Linked DNA regions of Oryctolagus cuniculus. The protein of the gene in region 1 purifies or fractionates together with the protein of each later gene. This does not show direct contact. Links are inferred from orthologs where the notes say so. Each region holds a gene or a part of one and is shown on either strand. Other genes may lie near its edges. The genes, in order: TLE1, HES1 and FOXG1.

What was found.
Region 2: the proteins of TLE1 (region 1) and HES1 purify together in Homo sapiens (affinity purification with western blotting; 4 studies listed by BioGRID and IntAct, with this or other methods). This does not show direct contact. The link is inferred for Oryctolagus cuniculus from reciprocal best matches to the Homo sapiens genes TLE1 and HES1.
Region 3: the proteins of TLE1 (region 1) and FOXG1 purify together in Homo sapiens (affinity purification with western blotting; 3 studies listed by BioGRID and IntAct, with this or other methods). This does not show direct contact. The link is inferred for Oryctolagus cuniculus from reciprocal best matches to the Homo sapiens genes TLE1 and FOXG1.

The regions. Positions count from the first base shown.
Region 1 is NC_091432.1:148,537,433-148,545,095, forward strand, and holds the start of TLE1 (transducin-like enhancer protein 1), read left to right. Parts: upstream 1-3,716; 5' UTR 3,717-4,073; coding exon 4,074-4,097; intron 4,098-4,900; coding exon 4,901-5,001; intron 5,002-6,353; coding exon 6,354-6,417; intron 6,418-6,526; coding exon 6,527-6,571; intron 6,572-7,663. Other genes in the region: uncharacterized protein, read right to left, coding at 2,369-2,596. UniProt on the Homo sapiens protein: Transcriptional corepressor that binds to a number of transcription factors. Inhibits NF-kappa-B-regulated gene expression. Inhibits the transcriptional activation mediated by FOXA2, and by CTNNB1 and TCF family members in Wnt signaling.
Region 2 is NC_091435.1:85,314,379-85,322,060, forward strand, and holds HES1 (transcription factor HES-1), read right to left. Parts: upstream 4,754-7,682; 5' UTR 4,480-4,753; coding exon 4,372-4,479; intron 4,243-4,371; coding exon 4,147-4,242; intron 3,888-4,146; coding exon 3,800-3,887; intron 3,097-3,799; coding exon 2,549-3,096; 3' UTR 2,168-2,548; downstream 1-2,167. UniProt on the Homo sapiens protein: Transcriptional repressor of genes that require a bHLH protein for their transcription. May act as a negative regulator of myogenesis by inhibiting the functions of MYOD1 and ASH1.
Region 3 is NC_091443.1:46,591,875-46,599,316, reverse strand, and holds the start of FOXG1 (forkhead box protein G1), read left to right. Parts: upstream 1-3,487; 5' UTR 3,488-3,622; intron 3,623-4,759; 5' UTR 4,760-4,922; coding exon 4,923-6,425; 3' UTR 6,426-7,442. UniProt on the Homo sapiens protein: Transcription repression factor which plays an important role in the establishment of the regional subdivision of the developing brain and in the development of the telencephalon.

The DNA.
Region 1 (7,663 bases):
TTATTTATTTAAAACATAAGATTAAAGTTACTTGATTGTTTAAACACCATCATTTGTAATGCAGTTTGATGAGAGTTTTGTAGTATAATTATTACAGCATGACAATCCTGGAGAAAATACGACCTTGAAAAAGGGCAGAGGCTTCTCCAGCTCTCAAGGAGGATGCTCTGAATGAGAAAGAAGCCTTAGAAAACCAACCACTTCTATGCACTCAATTAAAGGCGTCTGGTTCAAAAACCATTATGCTCTTTCTTTTCTCCTAATACTACACATTATAAGAAAACCACAGGCCTGGCCTGGCTCTAAACTACTGGTACAGAAGCACTAGTTGAAAGAAAATTTTCAGTTTTTATTCATAGCAAACTGGGAAATAATGTGCAGAAACATTTTCTGTGATCAGTTTTATCAGAGAACATTCAGCAACAACCCATTAGAAATGGTTCACTCCTGTCCCCAAATATTATGTTTTAAGTTTTCTGGTTAATTAGCAGTATGCTCCAGTTGATCAAGATACATCCTACCAGGTAAAGTTTGGGGAAGCCAGGGAGAGCTACCCCAGGTATCCCTGCATGTGCACAAGCATACTTCGTGCACCCAAGCATTTTTCCACCTAGTCCTACGGTTTGAACGGACCACAGATTGGCGTGTATAGCCCAATCACTAGATGATGATTTCACAAACACAGGAAGCCAAAGGAGAAAGTTTAGTCGACCATGAATCATAATTTCTTTAGGTCCTACACGTGGAGCAAGCCTGCTTTCATCATCACCACATTTAACTAAGGAAAGAGAGGCAGGACTTCCTTTTCATTCTCCATGTTAACAAGACCAGTATAGCCCCTTTCTCAACTCCGCTTCAGAAAACTGCAGAGCTAGAACCCTGAACTTGTTTAAGAGCATACTATGGCCTTGCACAGGCTGGCTGAAATAGCTCTTTTATTTTTCATTTATAATTGATATTAGGGATTGATGCAATTATAGACAAATCAATATCATACATATTTAAAAAACGCCAGTGAAATGTATTAGCTAAAATGACTCTTTTAATATTTCAACAAAAAGATCTCTGTAAAAAGCAAATCTTTGAATAAAACGTATATGTGCTTAAATAAACTCGTTCCCCTAAGTTTCTCGAAGGTAAAATAACGGGAACGCGTGGTTTCTAACACCAATATCTAGGTTCCAAGGAAACAGTAACACTTGTCGGTGATTTGCCCGCCTCGTGGAAGACGTTACCATCATTTGGCTAGAAGAGCATTATTCACTCACTGCTCATGACGTGGAAACAGTTTCACTGAACTGTTCTTTAAAGAAAAGTACATATATGTAAGCAGAAAGGTATCATTGCGGCAGTACTGAAGGTCTTCTGCTGTGTGGTGTATTTCGAGAAAGACAAAAACAGCGGACTCACAATACTAAATACGGAGCACCTCTCGTTCCTGTAAAAGCTCCAAGTCCCTTGCATCCCCAGCTGCCCCTCTAACAGCCCAGGCCACGTCATTTAGCCGTAGAGTCTACGGCTCGGCCACGAGCAGCACCCAGGCCACGGGATGGGCTGGGCCCGACAGGTTTTTCAGGTCCCGATGCTGGTCTGTCCCTCTGTTTCCAGGAATTGGAAAGATTCCTGGTCTGGTTGAGGAGCGGCTCCTAAGACCCCCACAGCCACCCTCTCCCCCGCCAGAGGACTCCTGAGAGAAAAAACAAAACCCGGGATTTCGCGCCGCGGGCAAAGCCATCCCCTCAGCGCACGAGACGCGCGTGCCCTCACGCCGGCGGCACCTTAGGTATCCCGCCCGCCAAACGCAGGCAGGCCGACCTTTCGACAAAGTGGCCCGGAATCCTTCAATAAAGGCCAAATCCCACCACGCTGGGCGCACGGGGAGGGCGGAGGTGGCCGCGGGCGTCGCAGTCGGGGCTCCGGCGGCGGGCAGACCCACGCCGACTAAGCTTTGCTCATTTATGCGTTTTCCGCCAAGTGTACAGCCCACTCCTGTGCACCGGGGAGAGGCGGCTCAAGAAAGGACTACGCTCTGAGGAATTTCTGAATGTGACCTCGCTTTCAAGGAGCAGCATCAGACAAGAGGCCACCACACAAAAAACCATTTTGCTCGCATGACCAAAAAAACCCCTCCCTCCCGCCCCCAAGGCGAGACTACGCCGTGAGCCCCCGAGTTACTTTTACTGAGCCCACAAGATTCGCACTAGAGCGCAAAGTGAACAAGTGGCAGGATTTCGGCAAACTCAAGCCCCCGGCTTCCGCCGCAGCACGCTCACGGGTCCCTCCCGCCAGCGCGCGCCCGCGCGCTCCCCAGCCGGGCCCACGTTACTTTGATTGACAGCCCGGCCCCGCCGCTCTCCTTCCCACCGACCTTCCCATCCTTCGTGCCAATCTCCGCGTCGCGCCGCCTCTCATTGGCTGCTTTTGGAGTCCCGCGGCTCCTCCAGGAACAGTTCCTCCCCGAGCCCGGGAGGACGCGGCTGGCGGAGGAGGGGCGGAGGGGGTGGGAGGGGAGACGGGGGAGACGGCGGAGATGGAAGCGAGCGGGGAGGGCGCAGGGGGAGCGGGAGGCACGGCCAGTCCGGCGCGGCGCCGCCATAGGCTCGAGGGAGGCGTGGCGTCAGTGCCCCACGTTGGGCGCGGCGAACGCGATTGGTTGATGCGGGCCCCCCTACTCCCCCGGCAGCCTCCCGGGCCCACGTCCCCCGCCGGCTCCGAGCTCGCGGCCCCCGCCCGCGCGGGGCTGGGCGGGGCCGGCGCTGGTTAGCTCCGGAGTGTGAAACCGCGTGTTAATGTAACCGGTGCGAGAGGCGCGGGCGGCGGCGGCTGTAGGAGCAGCGGCGGCGGCGGCGGCGGCGGCGGGTACCCTGTGCCCACGTCCCCGAGGCAACCGATCGCGCCACCCCCCCTGCCCTCGCACGGCCGGGCGAGACCCGAGCCCTCAGCTCGGACCTCCGCTGGCCCGCGCGCGGAGACCCGAGCCCCGCCGGGATTACTCGGACTCGTCGGCGGAGTTTGCCCGCCGGGGCGGGAGGCCGAGCGGCGGAGCGCACTCCTGCTCTTCTCCCCACCGTCTCGTGGATGTCGTTCCTCGGGTCGTGAGGGAACTTTGCAGCGGGCTGGAGCGCCCTTCACGGAGAGGCAGACGAGGGGAAGGAAAGGAAGAGGGCCGAAGAAGAAGGGTCCGGAGCGGCCGTGCGGGGCGAGTACGCATGGGCTGCGGCGCCCTGATGCGCCCCGGGCTGGAGGAGCAGCGGGTGGCTCCGGGACTGCCCTCCGTGGAGTAGCTCTGTCGGGCCAGGAGGGTTTGTGCAACCGCGGAGAACACCGATTGCCGGTTGCGCGGGGCGTGCCGAGCCGCCTCACGGCGCGCCCTCCGCACTTTCCCCGCCTCGTCATCCCTTGCTGCCCGGTCCGGGCTGAGGCTTCGGACCACCGGGCTCGGAGCCTCCGCTTCGGCTCTGAGATCGCTCCCTACTGCCTCCCACGAAGAGCGCCCGACTCCGGGGCGCAGCCGGGACCGGCGGGGGTCGGCCCGGAGCGCCGCCGCTCCTTGTGTGTGTGTGTGTGTGTGTGTGAGAGGTGAGCCGGGGGCGCCGCGCCACCTGCACCTCGCCCGCCCCTGCGAGGAGACCGAGCAGGAGAAGAGCGAAGGAAAGCAGCCCGCCTGGATTTGTTTGCCCGCGACGGGCGCCGCGCACGCGGATCGCCCAAGGGGAGCGCAGCCCGAGTCGCCGCGTCTCCACCTCACCGCCCCGGGCGTCTGAGGCCCGCGGGTTGGAGCACAGTCGCTGTGCGCTCTCCCCCCGGCGCCGGCGGCGCCGCGCAGGTCCTTGGAGCAGCTGGGCCCGGGGCGTCCCGAGATGTGGCCCTGAGGGCGGGAGCCCGCACCGGCGGGAGCAGCAGCAGCCGCGGGCGCCGAGTGGCCGGTGCGTCTCGCCGAGCGCGCCTGCGTGCGTGGCCAGCGCGCTCCCCGCTTCTGCCCGGCTGAATTGTCCTCGGCGGGATTAAAGTTGGAAATTGAGCGGAGAATTGAGTTGCCCGGGAACAGAGCTGCGGCCGCCGCCAGAAGAGCAATGTTCCCGCAGAGCCGGCACCCGGTGAGGCGCGGCCGGGTGGGTGGGGGCAGGCGCGCGGGGCTTGGGAGACTCGGTCTTGTGCAGTAGGGTCGTGGGCGGCTGTCGTACACCCCCGGCACCCGGCGGCGCGAGGCCAGGGGCTCCTGGTCCCTCCCTCCGTGGGGTGGCGAGTGAGCTGAAACTCAAGTCCCCCACCCCACCCCACCCCCTTCCCCTCTGGGGCCCCTTCCTAGTTGACGTCTAGACCGGGCGGACGCGAGCGCTGGGGGAGGCTGGGGTTTCTCTCCCCAGCCACATCCTGCGCTTTTCCCCGAGGCGGGTTTGGCGGCCCCCCTTTGTTTCTCGTCTCGCCTATTTACATGTCAATGCGGCCCCCGTTCCGGTGCGTCCGGAGGTGGCCCTGGCGACTCTGGGAATGGAGGACTTAAGGGAGTTGTTTTTCTCCTCCGGTCCCCGGGGTCATTGTCGCCCCCGTGGGGGAGGGGGCGACGACGACGACGTTCTGGTCTGGTCCCCGCACGCCGCACCCCCCAGGTCGCCAGGCAGTCCTCTCTACTCGGGCGGGTTGACCCGGGAGCACTTGGCGAGATCTGCCCAGGAGGCCGAAAGAGCTTCCGAGCCTTTTTAGAAGCTGGGGGTTGGGAGTGTGTGGGGGGGTCCGTTTCCCCCCTCCCCAAAGTGAAGCTCAGACTTGAGTTTGGGTCTCCGTTTTCTGCCGTCTCTAACTTTTTTGTTTATGTCCCACCCGTTCTTGCCTCTCCTGACTTTATCCGTCTGCCCGCCCGCATCCCCGTCCCTCGGTGCCCATCGCCGATCGCCCCCAGACGCCGCACCAGGCTGCAGGCCAACCCTTCAAGTTCACTATCCCTGAGTCCCTGGACAGGATTAAGGAGGAATTCCAGTTCCTGCAGGCGCAGTATCACAGGTGCGTGTCCGGCTGAGCGGGCGGCCCCTTAGCCCCTCGGTCGCCCAGCCCGGTGGTGGCGTTGGCTGTATTGAGTGCTTGCGTCCAGGCGGTGGCGTGTGGAGTCGCAGTTCAGACCTGTCATTCACGGTACCCCCTTTCCCGGCTCTTCCCGGGCCGGCTCTGCTTCTGTCTCCTCCTCCCTCCTCCCATTGTTTCCCTCTTGCGGGCTTGCTGCTGTTCCAAGGAGTCCTTTTTGGTGTATTTAGGAGTTGCATGAGAACTGTCAATATTTGCACTTCAGGTATTTATTTTGCAACAGGCTGAGCTGAAACATTGGTTCAATCAATCCTTCAAGCCCTGGAGTGCGGGTTCAGGGAAGCAAAAGCCATGTTGAAATCGCTGTTTGCCGTACTAGAAAATTGGGTTGTCTGAGGCAAAGTCCATTAGGGAAGGAGGCTAGTTGGCTTTTAGTTATGTCCATCCTTGGTGATGAGAGGGACAAGGTGGGGAGTGTTAGGGGAGAGTTCATCCACTTCGGCTTCCTTCTGAATTGATTGATTTGAGTGGAGTTAGCCTTCATCTCGGCCTCAGTTTCTTCATGTAAAGATACCCATCTGCAAGGAATTTATAACTGAAAGCTATCTGTAAAGTCACTGATTGTTCACAGTGGGTATTTCAGAAAGGTTAGTTTCTTTCCCTGGCTCCTTGGGAGGTTAAGGCTGATTGAAGCTAAGAAATTGCTGTAGTGGCAATTTTTAGCTTCCTCTTGCTCGAGATGAGGGTAGGTGATTTGGGTGTGAATTTTCTTACTCTATCAGGCCGCTATTCTACTTATAAGTGGTGTATCTAGGGCTTGAGGCATCCTTGTGCATACCGTGTTTACTCATGAGGGAGAACTTCAGCCCATTTTATGGCAGTACCCGCTTGGCATGTTTTGGCAGGAATTTAAAAACCATCGGTTTTGAAAGGGACCAGCCATTGTAGAACTAACTTGGCAGGTATGACTTTGAAACCTGGAGACAAAGATGGTGCGGCCTAAGGCTGGGACAGAAGTGTGCAAAGGCTGGATTTTGGTGGGGTTCAGAGAAACAGACTCTGATGCCGGAAACGGGGCACAGATGACCATGAGGAGGGATCAGCTGACAAGTGTACACCAAAGAGAAGAAGCAAAAGGCTGAGGGATACTCTGTACTGCTCACCTCATTCCTTTTTCCTGTTAAGTACAGAGACAAAGCTTTTGGGTGTTTACCTAGATAGTTTATGGCTTTTCCAAATTGGTCTGTGTTTTTACTTGAAGTGCAAATATGTGAGGCAGATGTTAAAACAAGTGACATAATGTTTACATTAAGTTGCCTGTTTTGTTTTCATAGCCTTAAATTGGAATGTGAGAAACTGGCAAGTGAAAAGACAGAAATGCAGAGACACTATGTGATGGTAGGTATCAAAGATTGGAGTTCTTTTTCATGTAATATTAGCAAATATGTGTTCTTCGCATCAAAAAATGTGAGTTAATGAAATGTCTGGTTCTTTCTTCTCTTTACAGTATTATGAAATGTCATATGGATTAAACATTGAAATGCATAAACAGGTAAGCTTTAGATAAATCTTAAGCCGAAACAAGAAATCAGCTCATACCATTTTGTAATACTGGCTTAGTCCCCAGTAGTGGGTCATGGACCTGGGAGTTTGCATGACAGTTTTGGCCTTGGTTGCCTTTCTTGTGAGTTGGTGGTAGTGTCTGCAGCAAGGGTAGAGTGCTTACAGGACTAGCTGTTTTGGAAATGTGAATTAGCCATTTTTAGGCAGCAGAGAAATTGAGACTGAATTTAGTTTTCTACCTGGATAGATTTATTGTCCTCTGAAAAGATGTCAGGATCCTGTAGAACTGCTAACATTCAGAACAGTGCCTGCGCTTGTGCTCTTTGGAAGGAAGTGCGCACCTTTGGGGGAAAGGGCATGTTCAAGGGTTTCTGTGATCAGGTTCAGCAAGCTGAGTGATTGACTAGAGTACTCTGTGCTTCTGGGCTGTGTAAGCGAGACTCAGGATTAATGGCTTATTAGCAAACATGTTTTTAAAAAACTTGTCAGTTGAAGCAGGTTTGGAGGTTAAAAAAAAAAAGGCATCCTTTTGTGGCCACAGCATATGTTGGAAATTGCTTCAGTCCTAGTGGTTTTAAAAGCATGAAAAGATTAGTGACTGGAAAGCCCTAGCTATGACTATGAGTTTGCAAGTTCCCATAAAATTCACACTTATGGCTACTATAATGGTGTATAAAAAGAGTATTGAGCTGGAACAAGGCACTAAGGACCTCATAAGAGAAGAAAAGCTAAATGATTGCTCAGCCCAAAGGACCCTCGATTGAGTAGTCATTGTCTGCCAAAGAAAGCATTAATGGCAGGGTGTAAGTATTCTGGAGATATGCTGACATTCACTTTTTCATCAAGACGCTGGTACAATACGTCTTTTAGAAATCGATTGCCTCTTAAAAAATTATCATCAGATGAAGTTGCACAGTTGGACACATTTCAAAGTGCAACAATACAGTTCTTACTTGATGTATATGTGCTATTTCATCTCAAACCCTTGTTTCATTAAATTAAAGAGCATGGCTGACCGGCTGGGGCACAGTGGAGAAATTGATTAGTTCAGCCTTCAGATCTTCCTTATATTCAAAGACTT
Region 2 (7,682 bases), on another chromosome or scaffold:
AGGGACCTCCTGGGAGACACGATGGATGTCTCCTCTGAAGCTTGGCCTCTTCCCCAGCTCCCTAGGCCAGCCAGCCAGGGGGCAGGAGGTACGGTCTCAGAAACAGATCCAGCCCTTGTATGGAATGGAAACGGCCCAGGGATGGGGAAATGACTTATCCAAGGTGACACAAGGTGACTTTAGTGGCACAGCCGGGGCAGAACCAGAAGATCCGACTCCACCCTCCTTCCCGTTCCACAGAGAAATAGAGGCTGTGTCTACTGGGCCCTGCCCAAATTGCAGGGGGGAAAGAAGAGGTTTTCAACCCCCTGTTTATTTTCGAAAGAACCAATGCTGACTTATTTTCCTTGCATTTATTAGCCCTTCCCAGGCAGATACTGGGTGTGCTTTTTGGGGTATCGATGCAAATGCACTTTTTCAGTGGCTGCCCTTCGCATAAGGAAAGACAAAGTTAACTGAGTCGATATCGAGATGGCACAGGGTTTTTCTTCTTTTTCCTGTGAATTTTAAAGGACATCACTGTGAAGGAGTTGTGCAAAAATGAGACCATGCCATCTATTTTTTCTATCAGGACAGAACACCCAGAGGACAGGCGTCCACGGAGCATTTGGGTTTGGGATGGGTCCCTGAATGGAGCGATTGTTATGATGTTTGTGTTTAAATGAGAGGGAAAAGGTGGAAAAGTGATATGATAAAGAAGGGTGTGTGTGTGTGTGTGTTTGGCGGAGGGAGTGTTGGACACCTTTCATGTACACAAAATCAGGCGAGTGGCAGCCAACTGCAAAAAAAAGTGGCTTTCAGACCTCTACCTCTAGGGCCCAAGCTGGGGCCCAAGGTGTCTGGGGGGAGGGGGGAGCGGACTGCCGCTGTGTGCCCGATGGTTCCTGCGACAGAGCCGCCCGACGCTTGTTCTGCGCGCCGGCCTGTGGGAAAGGCCAGCGCCGGGCGGAGGAGAGGGGAAAGCTTTTGAAACAAGACAGAAAATCGTTGGCTTTATCTTTGTTAGGGAAGCTTCAAAGATTGATCTCTCCCGCCTCATCCTCCTCCCAGAAGCCGCTCTCCGAGAAGGGGGCGGAGGGGGTTGGGAGGGAGGTGAGAGAGGCCGGCGGGTGGGGGAGGAGGGCGCGCCCGCCAGAGCCGCAGCGCAGGCTGATGTGTCTGGTCTCGCAGGACTCGTGGTTCTCATTTCCCCAACACCTGGATGCAGTCAAACACCTGGCCAAATCTGACAAAATCTGACAAGCCTTTGTGATGGGATTTGGAAGAAATTCCCTGCAGATCCTGGCACAGTTTAAAGCTGTCCGCTTTGAGTTAGGACTTGTTAAGGAGGGTTATGTGAGCTGAAACCCGAGACAGCCCTTTTGCTTCTATCTGGAGCCCACATCTTGCCTGGAAATGGGGCATGACCAAGCGCAGGGGTCGCTTGCTGTTTGTATTAAAAGGGGAAGATGGCCTGTGCGCCTGCCAGCACAGCCCCCACATGCTTTCTCTATTAGAGCCCAGCACAGACTTATCAGAAACACATGTGTGGCGTTAATCATCTGGGCTGGGGTTCCACTTGGGAGTCTAACTAGCTGTCCCTTGGCAGAAGGAATCTGTTGACCTTTCCAGCTTGCTTGAAGAGGGGGCAGAGCAGCATTGGACGCGTGTGCGTGCTGGAGCTAGGGCATGTCTGGCTGCACCTCGGGACAGGCTGATTAGGGGAGACCCCCAGCACTGGAAGGCAGGCGGCTCCAGGAGGAGGGCTGCCCTGTGGGTGTGGGCGAGCTGCTCCCAGGACAAGGCAGGGGCCGACCTCCCAGGGGCTGCGGCCAGTTCAGCATTGCCTCCATGACAGTCCTGAAAATGCAGTCCTGTCCAACCTTCTCAGGAGCTCACAGGATGAGGGCTGTATGGCTCAGCCCACTGCCAACTCTGAAACCTCCGAAATCTTGCAGGAGGTTCGCACCCAAATTTATTAAGGAAGCCGAATCAAAGGAGAGCTTGTAAATTAAGTGGGATTTGGTCTTTGTAGTTGATGTGGTGTGGGTGAAAAGGCTGGGTGGATTTTTAAAAATGCTGTTCTTTTAATAACAATAGAGCCAATTCCTGAATTCCCAGATTACATGTAACTCAAATTCCGTGAGCCTTTTTACATATTCTGAAATAATCAGTCCCCACACATAAACACCTTCACTCTTTTTCTTTTATTATATTTTCTCAAACTTCCCCAAAGGAAGATATTTTAAGAGCAGTTTCAAACATCTTTGGCATCACATAAAAAAGAAATCTCGTGTAAAAAACGAAATGTCATCTTTACTTTTATAATACAAAGGCGCAATCCAATATGAACATATAAAATATATACAAATATAGTGCATGGTCAGTCACTTAATACAGCTCTTCTACAAAAAAGTAACTTTTAGAAATTAAAAAAAAACCAACAAGGTAACCACTGAAATCAATCACAGAAAAGTTCTCTTCACTCCCAGTATCCAAGTTCCTGTTTAATGTCCGGAGGGTGGAGAAGCGGGTAGGGCAGTCTGGGTGGAGAGGTGTCCAGAACCCCTCAGTTCCGCCACGGCCTCCACATGGAGTCGGCCGTGAGCGAGGGCCCGCTGGAAGGGGACACGGCGTTGGGACCTACCGAGGTCCCGTTGTTGCTGGTGTACACGGGGATGACCGGGCCGCTGTGTGCGAAGGCCCCGTTGGGGATGAGGAAGGCAAACTGGCCGTCGGGAGCAGGCACCACCTGGAAGCCGCCGAACACCTTAGCCGCCTCTCCAGCCTGGCTGCCCAGCTTGCAGGGGGCGCCGCCGGGAGGGGGCGCCGCGCCCCCGGGGATGGGCACGAGCGGCGGCGGCGCGAACGGCGCGTGCTGGGGGCCGCCGGGGCCAGGCGGGGGCGGCGGCGGCGCCTGCAAGGCGGGGTGCGGCTGCCCGGGATAGGTCATGGCGTTGATCTGGGTCATGCAGTTGGCCAGGTGGCCGAGCAACCGGGTGCGCACCTCGGTGTTAACGCCCTCGCACGTGGACAGGAAGCGGGTCACCTCGTTCATGCACTCGCTGAAGCCGGCGCGGTATTTCCCCAGTACGCTCGGATCTGTGCTCAGCGCGGCTGTAGGCCAGAAGGAGGCAGACGGGTCACCGAACGGCCCTGGCCCCGGGGCCATTGCCTCCCGCCCTGGGAGGTCCCTGCGGCGCGCCTCCCCGACCACGCGCCCGCCGGACCGCCTGCGGCTGGGGCGCGGGGAGGGGCGGAGGGGGTTGGCTCTAGGGGAACCAGCCGCCACCACCACCGCCACCGCCACACCAGCGTGGCAATCCGAGCCGAGACACCGCCTTCCCATTCCCTGTCGCTCCATTTAAACTGCTCTCAGGCCCAGCCCCGCGCGCGCTGTGACCTTGGGACTCGGCCCCCACCCTCAATCCACCAACCGCGCCGGTTTCCCCTTCTGGAGCGGGGGAGGAGAGCAGTGCGCTAAACCAGATGACCCCCCCCCCCACTCCACCCCCAGGCTGCACACAGCTCCAAACCGCCACGGCTCCCAGTCCTTTAGCCCCAGCCCGCTTCCCCCGCAGCCAAGCCGCCCGCCACCCTCGCGGCTACCACCTCTCTCCCTCCCTTTCCGGAACAGTAACAACTTGGAGTTGCGGCTATAAATAAGACCCAGACCGTGGGAACGCGAGCGTGAGCCAAGGCAGTAAAATGTAGCTCAATGCCGCTCACAACCGCGGGCGGAAGTCTGGAAGGAATCACCGCCGGGTGCGAGGGCCGCCCGCCGAGGGGGACGCGCGAGCCGCCCTCACCGCGCCCTCACCGGTCATCTGCGCGCGCTGCAGGTTCCGGAGGTGCTTCACGGTCATCTCCAGGATATCGGCCTTCTCCAGCTTGGAATGCCGCGAGCTCTGCACAACAGAGGGCAAGGCAGGGCAGTGAGACCCCCGCCGCCCCCCGTCAGCTGCCTCGGATCGCTGGGGCCCTCCCGCCCCCCGCCTCCCCGGCCGTGGACCCCGGCGAGAAAGCAGCATTGCCGGGCTAGGCTAGGATCCTCGCCTCGCAGGCAAGGGGGATTTCATTCCCGGAGGCTCCGAAACAGTACTTCGCACTTCTTAATAAATAATAATAATAATAATAATAAAAGCAGCAGGATTCTCCCCCACTTACATCTTTCTTAAGAGCATCCAAAATCAGAGTTTTCAGCTGGCTCAGGCTTTCATTTATTCTCGCTCTTCGTCTTTTCTCCATGATTGGCTTTGAAGACTGCAAAGAAATCAGACAGAACTCTGAGTTCCCCTGGGATCTGCCGCTTCACCCCGGGGTTTCCGGAGGGAAAGGAGCCCCCACCCCCGACCTGGTTCCTGGGGCTAGAGATACAGGCACTGCGCTTACCTTCCTGTGCTCAGAGGCTGTCTTTGGTTTATCCGGTGTCGTGTTGACACTGGCTGGGGTAGCAGCCACCGGGGACGAGGAATTTTTCTCCATTATATCAGCTGGCATTTTCCTTCCTTTTTTTTTAATCCCTAGAGAATTTTTATTTTTGGAGACCTTCGCCCAAAAATAATATTTTAATGTCCCTTTTTTCTTGAGACTTTCACAAAACTACTGAGCAAGTGCCGAGGGTTTATTATTCTATTTTGCAGCTACTGGGTGATCGGTAGCGCTATTCCAGGACCAAGGAGAGAGGTAGACGGGGGATTCCGCTGTTATCAGCACCAGCTCCGGATCCTGTGTGATCCCCAGGCCCTGGCGGCCTCTATATATATCTGGGACTGCACGCGAACGGCTCGTGTGAAACTTCCCAAACTTTCTTTCCCACAGTAACTTTCAGCCAATGGGAGGAGGAGACACGCGGCACCGCTCGTGGACCGCGCCCCCCCATTGGCCGCCAGGCACAAGGTCTGGCGGCCAATGGCGCGCGCCTGAGCCCAGGGCACCGGAGGCTACAACGTCAATCAAAGGAATTTTAACCCTTTGCTACTCTCCCCTCTGGGCTTTGCTTTCGAGAGGATTTTTCCGCTTTAGTTTTAGACTAGTTTCTTTCTTTAAGGGGCCAATGTCTTTGCTCTTTGTTCTCTTTTCTATGTGTCACAGAACTGCTTTGACTGTAATAAGAAGTTCATTGGAAATATATTTTCAGAAAGGTATAGACCAAAGAAAAAAAGAGAGACATGATCAGTGATTAAAAGCGGCATAAGCGTGCAAGGGTGTGAATTACCCAAACATCTAAGTGATTTCCCTCCGAGCTTCTGTATACTGAGGAGAGTGAAAAGTAGATAATGCAGAAAAATAACCCCACCCACCCCCAAATTCCTTTTTGCATGCACCAGAAGGAAAAATAAAATTACCTTGCACTTCTCATTTGCAGGCTTCTCAGGGCAAGGTGGTTCTTGGACGCCCCCCACCTTCACCACCCCGTCCCTCTTTCCTTCTGTTGGTGTTGGGGGCCCTGGACCCCCACGCTGCCCCAGGAAACAATCAGAAAAATTTCCAACTGGGTAGAAAGGAAATGGAATCGCCAATGACAAACGAACAAGGGGCGCTTTGATGGCAACGCCGCTCCGGGACGCGCGCGCGCTCCTCCGCACCCTCTCCCTTTCCGCCCGCGGGCCCTCGGCGCGGCGGCACCTCGAGGCAGGCGGGCGGCGAGGCTGCCTCTCCCCTCGCGGGCCCTTTAAGAGCTGCACCAGCCGAGCTGCAGTTTGACATCAGCCGGCCGGCGAGGGCGCGCCTGGAGCCGGAGCACGTGCCAGGATGTTTTATTGCCGCCGCGGCTGCGGCCGGGCCGGGAGGATGTGTGTGTGCGTGCGTGTGTGAGTGTGTGTGCGCGCGCCCCGGGGGCAGGGAGGCGGGAGGCGGCGGCGGGCGGCCGGGAGCGGGGGCCGGTTCCTGGTCCCCGGGAGAAGCCAAGAAGGTAAATAGCAGCTGCTGTGCTCGAGCCTGGGAAAACCCCGCCCCCTGCGCCTGGCCCGGGCTCATTGGCGCGCGCTGCGTGTGGGGTGTGTGTGTGTCCGGGGCCCCCTCCCCGGGCCCCGCCGGGCCAGGAATCCGAGGGGGCGGCGGGCGGAGAGCCCAGCCCCGGCGCTTACCCTCCCCCGCCCCTCCCCCGGCCAAGGTCAGCCCTTCCGGGCGGGGAGCGCACGCCCTAGGGTGGAGAGCGGGGCATGGTTCCAGCCCTCCCCCACCCTGCTTTTCGGGCTCGGGGCTTTAACTTGGCCCCAGACTTCCCTCGCCGCAGCCCCGGGGTGGGGGCGGGGGGGCACCTGGCTCGTTCCTCGCCCCCGCCCGCCCGCCCTCTCCCGCGGGGCCCCCGGCGCCCGCCGCGGTCACGAGATGCCTGACCGCAGTGAGGAAGCGGCCGGGTCAGCCTCCTGCCTCCGCTCGGCGGCTGCGGTTAGGGCGGCTTCGTGCGGCCCGCCCCTTCCCCGGGTCCCGGGCGGCTGGGCAGCTCCCCCTCTCCGCGCCCGGGAGGCCGCCGGCGGGCGGCCGGGAAGAGGAGGGCGGCGCGGGCGGCTGCGTGCTGCCGGCTGGCCGGGCCGCGCGCCGGGAGGAGCCGCCGCCGCCGCCGCCGGGTGCCACGTGGCGGGCGCCGGGCCGGGAGCGCCAGGGCTCTGGCGGCGGCCTCCCTGGGGGATTTGCCGCGCGGGCAGGGCGGGCGGCGCGCACGGCCCCGGCAGGCCGGCCGCCGCCTCCGGAGTCTGCCTGGCCGGCCGGGTCGCCGGCCCCGTGTCCCCACCCCACCGCCGTCAGGAGCTCGGCCTGCGGCTCGGGGCGGCCTGGGAGCCCAGCGCCTCCTCTGATGTCGCCCCCCCTCGCCCCCTCCCCCGCCCTTCGCGCGTCCGGGAGGCCTGGCACACACTTCTCTGACACTTCATTCCTTCCTTCCCCCCGAGCTCCCCGCGGAGATAAGGTTGTCAATGATTCCCCCAGATCCGCCCCTGGTGCGGCTAGGCGGCTCCTGACTCCACTGACCTTGGGCGAGCCCCTCGCGTTCAGTAGGGAGCGCGCGCTCAGTGCCAGACACTGTGCTAAGCCCTGGATTACCACGACAAGGGAGGCAGTGCCAGTGTGCACGGAGGTGGCTGTGAGCGGCGGAGGCGGGCACACCCTGAGGTTCTGCTCCCTGACCCTGCGGGCTTGCCTGCATTCCCCCTTTTGGGGCTTGCAGGACAGACCACACCTGTAGGGACAGCCGCAAGGCTGGAGCTGGTCTGCAAGGCGCGGGGCCGAGCGAGGGGGTGTTACAGGAAAGAGTCAGAGGGTATGGCCCGCAGGAAGCTCCCAACCCCGGGACAGATAAGGCTTGTGAGTTCAGCTGACATTTGTGGATTTCCCTGTGGAGTCCTCTGAGAGGCCCCAGTCCTGCAGACACGGTTTCGTTTCTAGATGGAGGCAGAATGCTGTGGCTGTTTGAGAGTTAAATTACTTGTAAATTAGAGCACCTTGGAAAACTTCCTGGAGGAGGTGGCCTATCCCTTGAAAAACAGGGAGGCCTGCCTGCCACATTGGAAATGTGCTGTGTCATGGGGCTGAGGAGGAGACCAGCACCTCTCAGGCCTTACTCAGGGACTGTGGCCTGCAGCCCAGTGTGTGGACACCGTGCTCCAAGACCCTTAAACGCCTTGCCAGGGGGCTGTAGCTTTAGACAGTGGGGAGCCAGGAAATGTGCTCCAGGCAAAGAGGCGGCAGGGTGCCTGCCCTTG
Region 3 (7,442 bases), on another chromosome or scaffold:
ACTAAATGTTAACACCATTACCTGCTGTTAGGGAGAGATTACAGGCGAGTTGGCTCTAGCTTAGGGCAGCCTGCACTTGTTACAAGATCTCTGAAAACACCTGACCGCCTCTGCAAGGGATCTGCTCCCACCTAAACGTCTCAGGGTCAGATACTCCCAGTACATCTGCAGGAAGAGAGCCTTCGCTGTAGTCTGGCACTGGGCTCTTCTCCAAGGACACCTTGTCCAGGGAGCCCAGAGCTTGCGTGAATTTTAGGTAAATATGGTCCACCAGCCTTGAACTAGCAGGTAACAAGGAGAAAAGAAGCGAAATATGAACCAAGAGCTGTAAATAGGCCCCACCGAAGACTCAATGTAATACCACCAAATGGAATAATAAGATGTACTGCTCCCCACCCGGATGATGTATGCCGTGGGGCCTTGGTTATTAATTAAATCTCCAGAAGGTATAATCTGATTCATTTCCCATGCAATTCTTCCATTGGAACTGTTCACTCTTTACAAGGCCTGTTCTCTTGTTGGGGTTGGGGTTAGGGTTTTGGGAATGCAGACAGAAGAGAAAGGAGCTTACCACTATATACACTGGAAATGTTTATTGGCTTTTATTTCTCCTTTCAGTCGTCAACAATGCAAGTTTGTGAGTGTATGCATGTGAGAGATCAAGGTTAAGTTGATTATGAGAAAACAATTAGGTTGGTTGTCCCAGTCTGAGACAACTGGATGCCCCCTGTCTTCTGAAGGGAACCAGAGAAGACTGATGGAGCTGGAAACGTAAGAGGCCCCCAAGGTGGACCTGGCAGGCCTTCAAATCCAATTCCCACCCAAATTGGCCGGCAGGATATACAGAGCCCAGTCCAGGGACTTTCAGCTTGCACAATACTCTGTCCAGGAACCTGCTCCTTCCCCCCTGCATTTCAGATAGTAGCAGTCCTAAAAAGAAACCATTGCTGACACAACCGTGGGCCGCTAAGTAAACACTACATGCTGTGTGGAACACACACACACATGTATATACATATACATACACACACAACTTCTTCCAAAGTTGTAAATAATCATTATAATTGGGGAGAAAAGATTTTTAAATATTATTATATTCAACTCTATACTAGTTATTCCTATACAAATATCCTATTTTGGGAGACTTGCATTCATGCAATCCTTGAAATAATATAACACATTCTCAATTTGCATGTGAAACATTTTCCCAGTCAATATGAGCTTCTGGCATAGAAAATCAGATTATTACAGCTCTCATTAGCAAAGCCCAATTTTTGCCATCTGAAAATATACAGAAGAAAAACTTATTTTCACCTACTAAAATTTTAAACAATGCACACTCAGCTCTGACCTAAGAAACACCTTAAAACATTAAAAATTCATCAGTCAGAGCTGGTGTTGTATTCAAGGAATGCTCCTCCAGTTTGCTGCTGAGCTTGGATTTGAATAAAATGTCCAATGTTAACAAACAATACCCACGTTTGGCACTTTGTGTATTAAATTGATCAAACAGATTTTAGGAGGCACAATGCACAATTTGTACAGACCTGATTGAGTTAATATAATATCAGCAAATTTTACATCGAAATGATTCTGTTTCTTTTCTTTGTGTTTAAAACCAGCACAGATTACAAATTTTAATGATCTGAAAATGTTTGGTATACAAAATCATGCTTATTTCAGTATTAGCAAAAACACAAGAAATTTTTCAACACAAACACCCAGCTGTGTCTATTTTAAAAGCAGTTCAATGACAGCTTGCACTTATGAGCATGCAATCAGCTAATTTCGCTTTTTTTTTTCTTCTGTGTTAATCAACACTTTCCTTCCTGCATATCAGAGTACAAATAGTATAGTTACTCCACATCAGTAAATGTTTACGTAACCTGTCCTTTCCCAAGAATCCGGTTACACCGAATCATTTCACGCTAGACCGACTACGAAAACGTACCGGGCCGTCCACCTCAGAGGGAGCCCTGTGTGCCATTCTAAGTGGCGGTGAGAAGGGGGGCCACGGGGGCAGACCCGGGGAGGAGTAGGTGGAGGAACGGGAAGCGCGAGAGAAACGGAGGGCGGGGGGAGCGGTGGGGCGGGCAGGGGGAAGGAGGGAGTGGAGACGGGGGGGAGGGAGGCGAGGGAGTTGAGGAAAAGTAGCGAGCACTGGCCTGCAGGAGGGGAGAGGAGTGGGAGGAGGAGAAGCGAGCGGGGAGGGAAAGGCCCACGGAGCTGTGCAGCCTCTTCGCGAAGCCCGCGGGCTCCTCCAGCTCGGCAAGTAAGCCCGAGCTCGGGTGCCGGCTTCTGGGGCCGTGTCGCCGCCAGCGTTTGGTGGCTGGAACCCTCGAATGCCTCCCGGGTGCAGACCGTGCGTGGACGGAGGCAAGGACACAGGAGCCTACGTGTAGTGGGAGGCTGAGGGTCGTCCGATATTCGCAGCTCCCTGGTGACATCCATGATGGATGCGTATTTAAAACTCCCGAGCTAGCTGCCGGTCACGGCCTGGTATTCTCCCTGAGAACTTCGGGGTTGGGGATGGGCAAAGTGGAAGAGCCCCTACCACCATCCTGAGCTCGCAGCAATTCCATTCTTTATGTCATAATTTAACTTCGCTCCTAGGCGCCACTTTCCCTTCTCAAACACCAGATCTGCCAGCTAGCTCATTTCACTGCGAGTTTTCCAAAGTGAGGAGGGTGGGGAAAAAAAAAAAAACCGCTTATATTGTATGATGATGATTTACCTTACAGAGGAAGGGGGAAAGGTGCTTCCCCCCCTCACCACCACCACTTAGGCTTCTCTTCCACCGCCCTCTTCTCTCAGGCTACATCCTCCGTAAAATGTGGTTATGTTTCGTGCCCGTGTGGGATGGAACAGCCTTTGATCAGTGTGCTCCGCGCTAAATTCCAATCCCTGGGAAATGCTGGGCCTTAGCCCTGCCCCTGGCCACGGGATCCTTTTAAAGTCCCCAGATCGCAATCTTCCCACTCACTCCAACCTCCCCAGTGCCAGAGCCCCAGAAGCTGGGCTTACGCATCCCCGTTCCCCGAGAGCCCAGTGCCTTCCAGGCAGCAGTCAGGGTGGGTAGGGGCTGGCTGCGGAATACTGACATCTCAGGGTCGAGGCCCTCACAAATTACACGCATTTGAGAAACGAAGAGAAAGAAAGGAAAAAGGAGGAGTGGACGCAGGGAAGCTTCAGGAGGGGATTAAAAAAAAAAAAAAAAAACCCGGAATGCAACAGACGCCCACCGTAATCTTCCCTCCTGGGTCCACAAGCAAAAATGAAAATATCTCCAGGGTGATCGCTCACGGCTCCCCGCTTCCGATTCGGATTCGCGACTGAGAGCAGGAGCTGCAGCGGCGAGGAGCGCGCGCGGCACCGACTCACCCCGCCAGAGCCACGGTCTGCGGCCGCGGAGACGGCGAAGGGAGACGCGCGCGGGCAGAGAGCATGGGTTACCTGCTTTATTTCGAGACTGTTTGGCACTGTGGGCACCTCTCTGTCCGGAAGGCCATCAGAGGCACCCACCACTGAGCCGCCCCCGCCCGCCGCCGCCGCCGCGCTCGGAGCCCCAGGCCCCGCTTCCCCCGAGCCTGGAGCCCGCCGCCGCCCTGGCCGCTGGAACCGAGTAAGTAACCCTCGCTCGTCCCCGCGTTCTTCTGCCCACGGCCTCCTCCTCACCCCGTCCTTTCCAAACGTCGCCCCCCGGCCCTCCTCCCGCAAGGTGCAGGACACCCACGCCCACACCGGGGGTGGGCCTTCCCGCCCCGCCGACGCGAGGCTTCGCGGGAAGCGTGGCCTACGCGGGGCACAGTTCCCCCCACGGGCCCGCCAACGCCAGCCCCGGGCCTGCAGGGCCGAGGAGGGGGACGAGTAGGGCCTCGCCTGCCTCTTCCTCCTTCATTTCCTGCCCTCTCCTCGCATCCTCTCCACTGCGCGCCCACCCTTTCCTCCACCGCCGCCCCCGCTTCCCCCCCCCAAAATAAAACCGGATACAAACTTTAATCAATAAGGACAAATATTGACGCTCAATCGAAAATGACCCAGTACAAAGAGGAGGAGGAGGAGTAAGCCGGAAACGCGAGCCGTGGGCCCTTGGAGGGGACTGCGGCGCGGCGCGGGGGCGCGGGGGCGCGGGCAGGCCGCGGCGCTGCGTGGTCCCGCCGGCGGCTCCGTGCGCGGCTCCGCGCGGCCGCCGGGTCCCAGGCCCGTGGCGAGGGGGAGGCGAGCGCCCGAGGGGGCGGGAGCCGGCGGGCGGGGCCCCGGGGTGGGTGGGCCCGGGCCCCGGCGATTGGTCGACGGCGAGGGAGACGCTCCCGCACGCCGCCGGCTCTGATTGGCCCGGCGGTAGGAAAGGTTAAACCAAAAATTTTTTTACAGCCCTAGTGTGCGCCTGTAGCTCGGAAAATTAATTGTGGCTATAGCCGCCTCGATCGCTGTCTCCCTAAAGCCTCGCCGCGGCCGCTCCGGGACGCGCCCGCCCGCCCGCCGCCCGGCTCTCCCCCCCTTTGGGCTGCTGCTGCTGCTGCTGTGACTGCTGCTGCGAGAGGAGGAGGAGGAGGAGGAAGCAGCGAGGGGGGGGGGAGCGGGGGGTGGGGGGGAGACCGAGAAGTAGAGTTGGGAGCGAGGGAGCTTCACCCCCGGGGCGGTGGTTGTTTCTTTTTTTTTTTCCCTCTTTCTTTCTTTTTTTTTTTCCCTCCCCCCCCCCTTTTTTTTTTCTAATTCCTGAGGGGTGGTTGCTGCTTTTTGCTACATGACTTGCCAGCGCCCGAGCCTGCGGTCCAACTGCGCTGCTGCCGGAGCGCTCAGTGCCGCCGCCGCCGCCCGCGCCCCCCGCGCCCCGCTCGGCACCCACCGGTCGCCTCCGCCCGCCGCGCCGCTGCCCCGCTCCCGCGCCGCCGCCGCCGTTTCCCCCCGACGACTGGGTGATGCTGGACATGGGAGATAGGAAAGAGGTGAAAATGATCCCCAAGTCCTCGTTCAGCATCAACAGCCTGGTGCCCGAGGCCGTCCAGAACGACAACCACCACGCGAGCCACGGCCACCACAACAGCCACCACCCCCAGCACCACCACCACCACCACCACCACCATCACCACCCGCCGCCGCCCGCCCCGCAACCGCCGCCGCCGCCCCAGCAGCAGCCGCCGCCGCCACCGCCGCCCCCGGCCCCGCAGGCCCCCCAGGCGCGGGGCGCCCCGGCCGCCGCCTCCGCCGCCGCCGCCGACGACGACAAGGGCCCCCAGCAGCTGCTGCTCCCGCCGCCGCCGCCACCGCCGCCGCCGCCGCCCCCGTCGGCCGCCGCCCTGGACGGGGCCAAGGCGGACGGGCTGGGCGGCAAGGGCGAGCCGGGCGGCGGGCCCGGGGAGCTGGCGCCCGTCGGGCCGGACGAGAAGGAGAAGGGCGCCGGCGCCGGGGGGGAGGAGAAGAAGGGGGCGGGCGAGGGCGGCAAGGACGGGGAGGGGGGCAAGGAGGGCGAGAAGAAGAACGGCAAGTACGAGAAGCCGCCGTTCAGCTACAACGCGCTCATCATGATGGCCATCCGGCAGAGCCCCGAGAAGCGGCTCACGCTCAACGGCATCTACGAGTTCATCATGAAGAACTTCCCCTACTACCGCGAGAACAAGCAGGGCTGGCAGAACTCCATCCGCCACAACCTGTCCCTCAACAAGTGCTTCGTGAAGGTGCCGCGCCACTACGACGACCCGGGCAAGGGCAACTACTGGATGCTGGACCCGTCGAGCGACGACGTGTTCATCGGCGGCACCACGGGCAAGCTGCGGCGCCGCTCCACCACGTCGCGGGCCAAGCTGGCCTTCAAGCGCGGGGCGCGCCTCACCTCCACCGGCCTCACCTTCATGGACCGCGCCGGCTCCCTCTACTGGCCCATGTCGCCCTTCCTGTCCCTGCACCACCCCCGCGCCTCCAGCACTTTGAGTTACAACGGCACCACGTCGGCCTACCCCAGCCACCCCATGCCCTACAGCTCCGTGTTGACTCAGAACTCGCTGGGCAACAACCACTCGTTCTCCACAGCCAACGGCCTGAGCGTGGACCGGCTGGTCAACGGGGAGATCCCGTACGCCACACACCACCTCACCGCCGCCGCGCTGGCCGCCTCGGTGCCCTGCGGCCTGTCGGTGCCCTGCTCGGGGACCTACTCCCTCAACCCCTGCTCCGTCAACCTGCTGGCGGGCCAGACCAGTTACTTTTTCCCCCACGTCCCGCACCCGTCAATGACTTCGCAGAGCAGCACGTCCATGAGCGCCCGGGCCGCGTCCTCCTCCACGTCGCCGCAGGCCCCCTCGACCCTGCCCTGTGAGTCTTTAAGACCCTCTTTGCCAAGTTTTACGACGGGACTGTCCGGGGGACTGTCTGATTATTTCACACATCAAAATCAGGGGTCTTCCTCCAACCCTTTAATACATTAACATCCCCGGGACCAGACTGTAAGTGAACGTTTTACACACATTTGCATTGTAAATGATAATTAAAAAAAATAAGTCCAGGTATTTTTTATTAAGCCCCCGCCCCCCCCCCCGCCTCCCTCCCCTCCCGCTATTTCTGTACGTTTGTTCAGTCTTTAGGGTTGTTTATTATTCTAACAAGGTGTGGAGTGTCAGCGAGGTGCAATGTGGGGAAGAATACATTGTAGAATATAAGGTTTGGAAGTCAAAATTATAGTAGGATGTGTATCTAAATAGTGACTGCTTTGCCATTTCATTCAAACCTGACAAGCCTATCTCTGAGAGCCGCCAGATTTCCATGTGTGCAGTATTATAAGTTATCATGGATCTGTGTGGTGGACGCAGACCTTGAGAAACAACCTAAAAAAAAAAAAAATGGGGAGAGTTTTAAAATATTAAGCTGTAATTTGTATTTAAGAAGCATTGGTAGTAAAGATACCCAAGAAATTATTTTGGCCATTTATTGTTTTGTCTTTTTTTTTAAAGAACTGTTTTTGTTTTTTTTCTTTTGTTTACTTTTTAGACCAAAGATTGGATTATAGAGAATGCACTTGGTATTCTAAGTATTCAAACAAACAAACAAACAAGCAAGCAAGCAAAAAAAAAAAAAAAAAAGGAAAGTTGTTTCAGTTGGCAACACTGCCCATTCAATTGAATTGGAAGGGGACAAAATTAATGATTGCCTTCAGTTTGTGTTGTGTATATTTTGATGTATGTGGTCACTAACAGGTCACTTTTATTTTTTTTCTAAATGTAGTGAAATGTTAATACCTATTGTACTTATAGGTAAACCTTGCAAATATGTAACCTGTGTTGCGCAAATGCCGCATAAATTTGAGTGATTGTTAATGTTGTCTTAAAATTTCTTGATTGTGATACTGTGGTCATATGCCCGTGTTTGTCACTTACAAAAATGTTTACTATGAACACACAGAAATAAAAAATAGGCTAAATTCATATATATCTTGATACTTTTGTCTC